Tamandua tetradactyla: one gene and its partners. The protein of the gene in region 2 interacts with the protein of the main gene of each other region in a pairwise test. Links are inferred from orthologs where the notes say so. Each region holds a gene or a part of one and is shown on either strand. Other genes may lie near its edges.

Evidence for each region.
Region 1: the proteins of REL (region 2) and PIH1D2 interact in binary tests that used the Homo sapiens proteins (3 or more experiments, as listed by UniProt). The two-hybrid records come from large-scale screens. The link is inferred for Tamandua tetradactyla from reciprocal best matches to the Homo sapiens genes REL and PIH1D2.
Region 3: the proteins of REL (region 2) and PGAP6 interact in binary tests that used the Homo sapiens proteins (3 or more experiments, as listed by UniProt). The two-hybrid records come from large-scale screens. The link is inferred for Tamandua tetradactyla from reciprocal best matches to the Homo sapiens genes REL and PGAP6.

The regions. Positions count from the first base shown.
Region 1 is NC_135334.1:29,180,817-29,184,563, reverse strand, and holds the start of PIH1D2 (PIH1 domain-containing protein 2), read right to left. Parts: upstream 2,535-3,747; 5' UTR 2,426-2,534; exon of another isoform or gene 2,328-2,425; intron 1,519-2,327; 5' UTR 1,487-1,518; coding exon 1,310-1,486; intron 1-1,309.
Region 2 is NC_135343.1:33,247,051-33,250,797, forward strand, and holds the start of REL (proto-oncogene c-Rel), read left to right. Parts: upstream 1-1,149; 5' UTR 1,150-3,747. UniProt on the Homo sapiens protein: Proto-oncogene that may play a role in differentiation and lymphopoiesis.
Region 3 is NC_135349.1:56,950,641-56,954,387, forward strand, and holds the start of PGAP6 (post-GPI attachment to proteins factor 6), read left to right. Parts: upstream 1-1,192; coding exon 1,193-1,298; intron 1,299-1,385; exon of another isoform or gene 1,386-1,537; intron 1,538-3,747. UniProt on the Homo sapiens protein: Involved in the lipid remodeling steps of GPI-anchor maturation. Lipid remodeling steps consist in the generation of 2 saturated fatty chains at the sn-2 position of GPI-anchor proteins (GPI-AP).

The DNA.
Region 1 (3,747 bases), on a different chromosome or scaffold from region 2:
ATTTTAAAATAATATCCTAAAGGCAGCTCATCACAGAATTGTAAGAGGTAGAATTTTAGTCTCCAGGTTAGTCATTTCACATGTTAATTGCTTTGTTTGTTTATAAATAACAAACACACAAATGTTCTTGACGTGGTTACAATCAGTGGCTCACAATATCATCACATAGTTATGTATTCATCACCATGATCATCTTTTTTTTTTTTAAACATGGGCAGACACCGGGAATTGAACCTGGGTCCTCTGGCATGGCAATGATCATCTTTTTGAACATCTGCATCTCTCCAACAAGAGAAAAAAGAAAAAAGTCATGCATGCCATACCCCTTACCCCTCCCTCTCATTGACTGCTAGTATTTCAATCTACTCAATTTATTTTAACTTTTGTTCCCCTATTATTTATTTCTTATCCATATTTTTTGCTCATCTGTCCATACTGTAGATAAAATGAGTATCAGACACAAGATGTTAAAACTGTTTTTTTTTAATTAAAAAAAATTTTTTTAAACATAACATACAAACACAAACATTCCCATTTTTGGTATATAATCAATAACTCACAATATCACATAGTTGTATATTCATCACCATGATTTCTTAGAACATTTGCATCAATTCAGAAAAAGAAATAAAAAACTCATACATACCTCTTACTCCTCCCTCTCATTGAGTGCTAGTACTTCCATCTACCCAATATATTTTAGCCTTTGTTTCCCCTATTTTTTTCTATACTCCTTACCATTCCCTTTCATTGATCACTAGTATTTCAATCTACTCAATTTAACATTTGTTCCCCCTATTATTTATTTTTAATCCACATGGTTAAAGTTTTTTGATAAATTACACTCTTGCTTTCTTGATTTCCCAAAAGCTGCTGTCTTTTCACTAAGAATCCAGTAACTGAACCCAGAAAGGAACTCGGGTGGAGATGTGGTGAGGGAGGAGGGAATTGATCTAATCTAATAATTGTAGATTATTTCACTTGACCCTATCACATCACTTCTTAACTGCACCAACTAAACAGTTATCTTTATTTGAAAAAGCTCCAATTCCATGATTCTCCTTTAAATTATTACATTACTTTCTCTTTTCATTCTAGACCTCATTTGACATCTCCAAAATATAACAAGTATGAATACCACTCTTACTTCTCAACACAATCTTCCACACTACTTTTCATTTTCTAGAATGGCAGTTTCTCTTCAATTTTCTTGTGTTTATGTGGCAATAGCTAAGGGTATGCTATCCTCTGGTTATTCCAGAATCATTTTGTTCAGCACTTTCCCAGCCATGACACCAACTCTACACACCAGGATCTTCGTCTGTAGACACAGCTGTGGTTCTGGGGCAGCACAGAACTGTTTCCCCTCTTTCAGCTGCCATTTAATGAACTTGTCATAGCGCTCAGGGTCACTTTCAGCCAGATCATCTAGAAGGTTCCAGAATTGAGTAATTTGGGTAAACAGACCCTTTGAGGATGCGTCCATGATTAATGATGGTGAACAGGTCTCTTAAACCTGTGGAAAGACACGAGTTAAGGGGGAAAAAATCTGCGTGGGTAAGTCATTTCTACTTTGGGGGGAGGGAGGACAGGTATCAGCTACCTTAACATCTGTGTCTCAAAGATTGTGGCTTAGCGCTGCTATCTTTTCCTTATTTCCTATTCAGCACCCCTTCCTAATTCTCAAGTCATCAAAGATAAGGCCTTACCCCTATTTGGAATCTCACAAGCCTAGAGATGGGAGAGGAGACACTTTCAGTTTGGGTTTCTGGCTCTCTTCCTGTTCCAACACCTGTGTATCCTTAATTGCCGGCTCCCCAGTCCTGGAGTTGGCAGAGGTGCGTGTGGGGTGAGGTCCATTGGAAACTTCGGTATAGCTTAGTAGATAAAAGCATGGAATCTGGAGCCAGAAGGTTAAGCTTCTAATCTTAGCTCTATCACTAGATGGATGACCTTGAGCAGTTACACACACACACACATTATATATATATATATTATATATATAATATATATTATATATATAATATATATATTATATATATAATATATATTATATATATAATATATATATATAATATATATATAATATATATTATATATATATTAATATATATATATATTATTATATAAAATATATATATATATTTTGTTAATAATATATATTAGGTGATTCTCAAAATGAAGACGATAATAAAATGCCTATCTCAAGGAGTTACTTGCAGGATTGAGTAAACTAATATATATATATAGATTTACACTTGGTAAACGCTAAATGAAAGTAAAAATACCCTTTCTAGATCTTGGAATATCACGTCCCCCACTCCTACCCTATTTCCTTCCCTCCGCGTCCACTGGAGAGGAGTCCCATACCACCGACTGAGGCTTCGAATACTGTATGAGATAAGGCTAAATAGGAAACTTAACTTTGGGCAATCATTCCAGAGGCCGGTGAATCCACTTCCCTCGGATCCTTGACACACAGCGCGGCGCCTGTTACCAGGGTAACCAGGCTGGGCGCAACGCTTAATTGGGTCCGGGAAGCACCAGTCAGAAAGTTCTCCTTACTTCCAGTTCCGGAATCTCACTCTTCCGGTCGTGGGTTCACTTTTCTGCCGGGTCTGACCCACTTCTCTTCCAGAAAAGCGCCAGCCTCCCACTTGCATCCATCGACCTCTGGAGTATCCTGTAAATTCTATCTGTGACACACTCTGTGCCAACCATTGGTGGGAAGAATTTCTCAGGAGCACGACTTCCGGCCTGAAAGGGAAGCCTCCTCCTTTTTCTCCCAGATCGCTTCCTCCCCCCACCCCCGCCACGCGAGGCTGCGGCGCACGGTATGGGTGTGTTTGTGTGTATTTGTGTGGGGAGGGCGTTTGGAGGGGAGGTTACCGGGAGCTCCGAGGCCGTTGGCCGCTGGGTGGCGGGGATACCGGTGATAAAGATGGGGGTATTTTCTCTGTCTTCCTCTTGGAGACCTCAACCTCCCCGTCAGGCCCTCTAGATACTTCCCGGGGCCCAGCCGAAAAGTCATACTTATCCAGAACGTCCCCGTCCTTATCTGGGGAGCAAAACTCAGTCCCCGGGTCCATCCCAGCGGAGCCTGAGCGGGGAAAGCCGACCGGGCCGTCCAGATTCCGCTCCAGCGCAAGCTCCGGCCTCGCTTCGGGAGAACTGCCTGTCGGTCTGGGCTGGGGGAAAGGCAGCCATGCCTGGGCCACGGGTGAGGGCATAATAACCGGTGGGAAGGCTGCGTTTTCACGAAGGACTCGGGTGAAGCTGCAGAGCTGCCTTTGAGCCCTGACTCCTTGGCTTCCTGGGTCGGAGGAGATCTTGTAATGGAGTGGTTCTTCGTCTCACACTAACAAGATGCCTGATTTCCTCAGGATCGAGGGGTGAGTGAGCTATGGGGTGGTTGCACAAAGCCCCTGCTAGCTAACACGTTAATATCTTTGTCCTCTAGAAGTTGGAAGCTTTTGCACAAAATAGGAAATAAAATTTCTCTGAAGGAAGAAATTTAGGGTATCTCTGCATCTGATGTTTCCAAGAGTCAGTTTTTATATTTGTTGACACTTGTAGTCACTGACACTTTTAAATTTAGATATTTGCTTCATTGCAAATTAATTTTGGGAATCAAGAATTTTCTAATTTGGATCTTTATATATACGTTGCTTGCCTGAGACTCTCTGGCCGACAAGTTAGGGCTTTCAGGAAAGTTGATCTGTAAAATAGGGATGAAGATAACTTGCC
Region 2 (3,747 bases):
GAACCTGAACACACTGCGTAACGATGAGGCAATTCATGTCACCCATGGCACGAATTCTCAGTGCGCATCTTTCGCGTTTAAAAAGTTTTAGTAGGTAAAATACGTAAAGTTAACAGAGCCCGCGCATTTTAAAGATAACGGGCAGAATCAGAAGGTGAGGGTCTCCGTATGCAAATACGTGAATTACAAATACTGCACACAGGCGACGGCCGCTTCCGCACTTGCGCTACTGCGCGCACCCGGACGCCCGCCGGCGCGGGGGCAGCGATTTGCATGTGCGAAATCGGGAAGAGGGGGAACCACCTATCAAAAACCCCGGACCGTCCTCCGCCCAGCTCAGGTGGGCCGGCCCCACTTCGCCGCCCGCCCCGCCCCGAAGGGCTCCCCGGCGGCCGGCCCTCTCGACGTCACCGCCTCGTCCCACCCGCTCCTGAACTTTAAACCAGGCAGAGGAGAACAATCTGGAGGAGGGGGATTTCTCCGGAGCCCGCGGCTTCCGCACGCTCGAGACCGTCACCTCCTGGCTCCCGTCGTTCCCTGCGCTCCCAAAGATTCTGCATTCCGGGATCCGGGGCTCCCGCGACGCAAGTCCCGAGCCCGCTGCAGAAGGAGGACGCACGCGCGGGGGCGGGGAGCGGGCGCGGGTGGCAGGGGCGGGGCGGAGCGCGCGCTCGCCGCGGGAACGCCCTGCCCCCGGCTCCCGGGGGAAGGCGGTGGCGAGGGGCCGACGTCAGCCGCGGGAAATCCCCCTCCCGCCCTGCTGTCCGCCTCCTCGGCCCGGCTGGTTCTCGGCTCTCATCGCGCTCCGCCCCCTGCCCCTGGCTCCCGCACCCAGGACCGGCGACGCTGGGTGACCCGGAGCGCGAGAATCAAGGGGGTGGGAAGGTGTGAGCCGCAAACTCAAGGGAGGGCGGGAAGAAGAGGAGGGTCCGGGGGTGGTCCGGCGAACTGGGGGTCCCGCCGGCAGAGGTTCCGCGGTCGCCTGACTGACTGACGGGCTGATTGGCTTCGGCGGCCTCCTGCCCGGACGCTTGGGGTTGCCTGCGGGTAGGCGCGGTGAGCGGAGCCATGGCTTCGGGTGAGTGTTTCAGGCAAGGGGGACCGAGGGCCGTGGCGCGAGGCCGGGCCGGGATGTCGGGGCAAGGGCTCAGGGGAAGGAGCTCGGCCGGGGGGTCTTCCTCCTCTGACGGTGGGGGCTTAATGAGGTGGAGGGTGCGGGAGCCTCTTGGTTTCCTGAGTTTGGGTTGTAGCTCATTCTGTCTTTAAAAAAAATCGCCTTACCTGGCAGATTGTCAAGCGTTTAAAAAAGTTTCCTGGTGCAGGGTTTGCGTGCAAAATCAAAGCCACGCTCTGTAATTTGATACTATTATAATAGCCGGAACCTTAGAAATTCCTAACGGCTTGATTTCAGAATTAGGGAAGGAAGACCCTAAATCAAGGAGGACGCGTCGTGCTGGCATTAAAAACTGATTTGTACTGAAATGGTAGTGTTAGATTTTAGAACAGGAATGAGGAACCTTCAGAGCCGGGAATAAATTTCAGATGTCGAGAGGTGAACCCAGTTGTGCTGACAGTTGTACAATATGCGGCGAGGCTTTAAAACTTGTCAGTGGTATTTGTCCTAAGTGGAGATGTTGCTTCAACAACGTGGGGATGATTTTTACTGTGAAATAAAGTAGGCTTTTAGTTTACCGAGTTGCCCCCCCCCCCGCCCTTTATTGAAAGTAAGGGGAAAAGAGGATTTTTATAGTACTTGTGCTTCCATGATATGGATAGGAGTAAAAACAACTTTATATCACTTATGTAAATGTTTATTTCCAGTTAGTAAATGTTTGAAACTCTTGTTTCGGAGGAAATGAGTTTAGTAGGAAACAGTTTACGGACAAGGAAGGGAGTCTCAAATCTACAAGTCTGCCGAATAATCTAGGGGATAGATTAAGTAGACCGCGTTAGAATTGGACCTTTGCCAAGATTTTGGTCCGGTGGATGGGGGCAGGGTCGCTTTCCAGGCCGAGGGAGCACCTGAGAAGACGCTGGGAAGCCTAAAACTACAGTTAATACTGTACTGGGAGGCTGGAGAGGAGGGGGCTTGTTTATGCTCGACACCCTCCCCCCCTCCGATTCTCCCAACTTTGTTTCAGTGACCCTCAGTAGAAGGCTGATGTCTCCTAGAGAAGAGGAAGTAGAAAGTATAAGGGACCTTGTAAAAGGGTTGAACTGAACAATGCTTAAATACTACGGTAGGCTGAAAAGGAAATAGGGGTGTTTCACATGACATTTGATTTCAATTTGTCTTTGTGGTTTTCATGTGAGAATACAAGTATAGTTTAAAATATTTCAACTTTCCCTTTACCCACTTCAGTGACCCCAACTTTCAGATATTCTTCTAAGTTCATAAATTCAAAGCACATTTAGACTGAAAGTACAAAGATAACTTTAAGTGTTTGGCTAATTTATTGGTTATCAAAAAAGAGATTTTGTATGAAAGTAGTAAAGAATGGTGATCGTTGCAAGTAAAGAATGTCAGGCGGCTGTCGTTTTAATCAAACTTTATTAATTTATTGCATGAATGTATTGTAATACTTCTAATTCTTTCAAAAGAGAAAAGAATTGGCCATTTTTATATAGAGTATTATAAGACCACATGATTTAAAAGTGTGCTTTTTAATGATACTATATCTTTTTAATGATACTATATCTGCTTTTATGAGGACTAAGAATTACCTAAATTGGAGGGGCAGGGAGGAATTTGAAAGTTGAAGGGTGATTTTCTTCTTTTTTTTGCTTTTTTTCAAGAGTTGCATTAAAATGGGATTATTTAAAATTTTGCAAGTTGTTTAAAAATGTAATCCAGTGTTTTGAAAACTGCTAGGCCTTACCGGATGTCATATGTAAACAAATTTTTGTAATTGAAATATATGCTCTGTATAATGTAAAAGTACCATAGATCATAATCTCATAAGCAAAATTAGTTGAGTGTCATGAGGAAGATAGAGTAACTGGGACTTTGGTAGTGTATGTGATTCTGAATTTTGTTCAGATCAGTCATCAGGTTAATTATTCAGGGTTTCAGCTCTGTCTCTAGTAACTGTTTTTCAATGCTTTGAAAAAAAGCAAAACAGCCACAAAGCCTTGATTCCAGTCTGTGGACACAATTAGAATAGCATTGTGAAGAAAAATGTTCCTAAAACTGTCTAAGATATGTATATTAGACAATTATTACTTTTTTTGTATTTATCATTCTTTTTCTATTGAATACAAGTAAAATTAGCTATTTTATGTGTGAATTCAAAACTTTTCATTGTTCCAGTAAAAGAAGCAAATTGTCTTTGTGTGGCTTGTGGCTCTGTTTACTAATAACTAGCACCATCTTTAATAAAACATGTTTTAAAATTTAGATAATTTTTTTATTAAAAAATTTCCTTAGTAAAGTTTTGCTATGTCACATAATGAAAGAACTACACAAAGAAATTGTTTCTGTAAACTGTACTACTTTACCAACTCTTTGATTATAGTATGAATTTCAAGGCAACTTTTTTTTCCTCTTGGGTTGTAGATATGATTCAACTTATTTTTAATGCTAGAGCTGGAAGTTAAGAATGGATAGCTAAAGCAAATTATTGTTTTTTTAAGTAAAAAACTGTCTATGTAAACATAAATATTGTTTCAGAAATGCAACATGTGGAAGGGTAGAGATAAATGATATAAAAGAATTAAGGTGATATATGATAGACAGAGTGGAGGGAA
Region 3 (3,747 bases), on a different chromosome or scaffold from region 2:
CCACGCCTCCCAGGCTAGGGGAACCGGTAGCCCCCGGCCCTCCTGCCCACTTCCCTCCCGCAGCCATGGCTCCTCTCAGCCCCTCTGTCTGGCCTGTGGCCACCAGCCCCGGGCCTCCCCAGGGCAGGGCCTGGCGCCTGTGGAGCACGGACCGCAGGGAAGGGCTGGAGAGGACACCTCGGCGTGCAGGGCCCCGCACCTCGCAGACTGCCTGGGACTCGCCCCCGTGCGCCCCCAAACCGCAGGAGCGCCTGTCCCTCCCGGACTTGCTTTGTCACTTTGTCAGGTGGAAGAGAAGGCATCTTTGTGGATTCCCTTGCTGTGCCTTCGAGGGCCCTTCCCTGGCTCCCTCGCCGCTGGTTGCTTTCTCGGGTGTAGTTTCCTGTTGATTCGCCGTCTCCAGTGGGCGCTTTTAGGACCATTTAAACGGGCCGCTTGGGCTGTGAGCGGCGGCTGCTGGCCCGGCTCTGCAGGGAGCTGGCGTCCCCTTCTCAGCCTGCACCGGCGGCTCCCTCACGACTGAGAAGTTCCCCGTTTCCCCCAGTCCTCTCATCCTGTTCTTCTGCCCTTAGGTTTCTAATCCATTTGGAATCCAGCACAGGGGGAGTGTGACTCGCCTTCTTGGGGGGCCACCGGCTCTCCGCGTCCTGCGCAGCGCCCTCATGGACGCGGGGCCCCGTCTTTTCCTGGGAGGGTCGCGGCACCCCGAGGCCCGGCCTGGGCGACCAGCCAGTGGGGTGCGGGGCCGCGGGACTCAGGAGAGAAGCGGCAGCCCCTCACATAGCACGTGGGGAGACCCCCGGCCGCGCGCCCCCCTCTCCCCACCGGGTCACCGCCCTCGGCCCACCCAGCCGCTGCCCCCGCGCCCGGTCGCCCTCGCCCCTCCTCTCGGCGCCCCCTCCGGCCCGCAGTCCTTCCCGCGCGCCCCCGCCACCTCTACGCCCACGCCACGCGCGGCCTCCGCGCTCCCCACGCCCTCCGGCCACACGCGCCCCCGGCACCCTCGCGGCGCCGCCGGGCTCCGGGCGGGCGGGGCGGGGCCTCGCAGGCGGAAGTGCCGCGGGCGCCGGCGGCCGGGACCGGCACGACCATGGGAGCCCGCCGCAGAGGCTGCGGCGGAGGCTGCCCGGGCGGCCGCGCGGGCGGGAGGCCGGGGACGCGGGCCGGGTAGCGCCAGGCGGAGCGCGCCGCCATGGGCCGGCCTGGGACCGGGACCGGGGGCGCGGCGGTGGCGGTGCCGCTGCTGCTGCTGCTGCTCGCTCAACATCCGCGCGCCGCCGGCCACAGCAGGAGGAGCGGTGAGAGCAGCGCGGGCCGCGGGAGGGGCGGCGGGCATTGTGACCCACCCCGGGCCGCGGGCGCCCTGGCCCCAGCGGCCGGTGGAGAGGACGCCCGCGCTGCGCTGAGTCCTAGGGCCCGGCTGCCCCACCGCCCTTTTCCTCCCAGGCCCTGTGCACTGGGTGGAAAGGTGGAGGGGCCCGGGAGGGGCTGAGCCGGCCGCTGGGGCAAGGGGGCGGGCCGTGGGCCTCCTGAGCCGGTGAGGGGCTGAACTGGGGGTCATCCAGACCTGGACTGAGGGCTGAGCCGGGCTTGCTGCCTGGAGGCTGGACATGATCCCTAGTGGCTCTGTGGGCCGATTCCACTGGGTCAGGGTCTGGCAGCAAGGGCTGCCTCTGATTTGGATTTGCTGGGTGCCGTGTCCACTTCTGTTCCTTGTGGTCCCCACCCTGGCCTGAGACCCCAGGAAGGGGCTAGTGCAGACACTGCCATCCTGTGAGGCTCTCTTGGGGCAGGGATACTGAGCCCTGGACCCAGGGGGCCAAGTGCCCTCCCGGACCCCTGTGACCTGGGATTCCTGGAGGCCACACAGGCATCCCGGCCAAGCCTGATGCCCAGGTGGCAGTGGGCACCTCACCATCTGGCCCACTGCCCCTCAGACCCCTAAAACCATGCTCCTCTGAGCTCCTGTCTCTTCCGGGCAGTGCCTTCTTGTTTCAAAGCTAAGCACAGCTCGAAGTGAAAGCACCCCTGCCCCCCGCTGAGGACAGCACTCCTGATAGCACTGCTTGCTCCACTTTCTCCCTCCCAGAGTCCCAGGGTCCCAGGGTCAGGGGTGCTGGCCGGCAGGGTGGGGAGGGCTTGGAGCTGCAGGTGCTCATGAGCTGCTCAGTCCCTCGTCCCCGAGGCCCCGGCTCTGCTTGGGCAGGGGCTGAGACAGGATGCCCCACACTCGGCCTCCATGACAGGCCCAAGGACTTTCTCCCCACCCCCCCCCAACCCTGTGTCCCTGAAGGTGCACAGGGTGGGGCTTCAGGGGCTGGGGATAGGGTGGCCTGGAGCGGCTCTCCTCTCTCGGGCACCTGCTGAACTTCCCAGAGTGAGCTGAGCCCCTCCGCCCCACCTCCCTATACCCTCCGCCTGCCCTGCCCTGCTCGGCACTGGGGGTCTAGCTGGCTGTTTTTCCAAGGCCCTGGGGTCCAGGGGCACGGCCGGGTGTGGCGGGGCCGCCATCTCAGGTCCCAGCACGGCAGGTGTTGTCGTGCCTTCTGAGGGGCAGCCTTCCGTTTGCTCAGCAGCTCCCAGCCCCCAGGTGCACAGGCTGGTTGGCAGGACCCAGGGGCTGCAGCCGACGGGAAGCTGAGGCCCACTCCAGCCTAGCACTGACTGACTTTTGCTGACGTGCTGTGATGTCCTTGCCATGGGGTCCCGAGGCTGTGACAGAGGGACAGCGGCTCACCTGCTCCCTTGCCTGCCGCCCCGAGCTATGCTGCCGGCTCGCAGAGGGGAGAGCCCTGGCAGGAGGGCGAGGCCTTGCTGTGTCCACACATCTCTCCCCAGGGCCTGTCAGCATCCGGGAACCTTGGAGGGCGGGCCCAAAGGGAGGGAGCTGTCCGCTTGTTCACTTGCCCACCTGCGAGGAGCCTGGGCCAGAGGGGAGGGGACGGCCCAAGGTCACAGGAGTGCTGGGCTGGCACCAAGGCCGGGCTTCTGGCGTCCTGCCCAGGCCCTCACAGATCCCAGACCTGGCACCAGGAGAGCCCCCAGTGGGGTGGGAGGTCTTGGGGAGGCGGTGTGGTCCACTCGCAGGGCAGCTTCCAGTGTGGGTCCCAGGCTCCTGCGGTGGCTGCGTCCCGGTCAGCGGTGCTCCCAGGAGGGACCCAGCCCAGGGTGGGGCCTCAGGTCTCTGGGCCGAGTCCCCACGGACAGCTGAGTAAGCCACAGAAGTGCAAGGGAGTGAGCGACGTGTGCAGACCCTGGGGGGCTGTCTCCTCCGGGGACCCTGGGGCAAGTCGCAGGGCTGCAGGCCCAAGAGCTGCTTCCAGGACTGGGCCACGGGGACCCTCAGGCTCGGGCTGGGCCCAGGCAGTTTTGCAGATTCTGGCTGGTTTGGGATTTGTGGGCGGGTTTGGGGGTCCTGGGCGGATTGTGGGCTGTGGGCAGGTGTCCTTGCAGCACACAGACCAGCTGTCCCCTTGGCTCCATGTCTGGCCTATGCCTGCTGCCTGGCTGGGTGGGCACAGGGGCACCAGGTGGACGGGCGGGGGACCCAGGCCCCAGCCTAGCAGGTGGAACTGCTGGGGACATACAGTACGCGGGCGGTGGCAGGTGTGGGGGAGTATGTCGCAGTGTCAGGGGTCCGAGGTAGGCACGGGGGCGGGACTGCTACCTTGAGTCTAACCGGCGCCTTCAGCTGTAACCTATCTCTGGAGACCTCAGGGCTGCGGGAAGAGGACAGAGCAGTGGAGG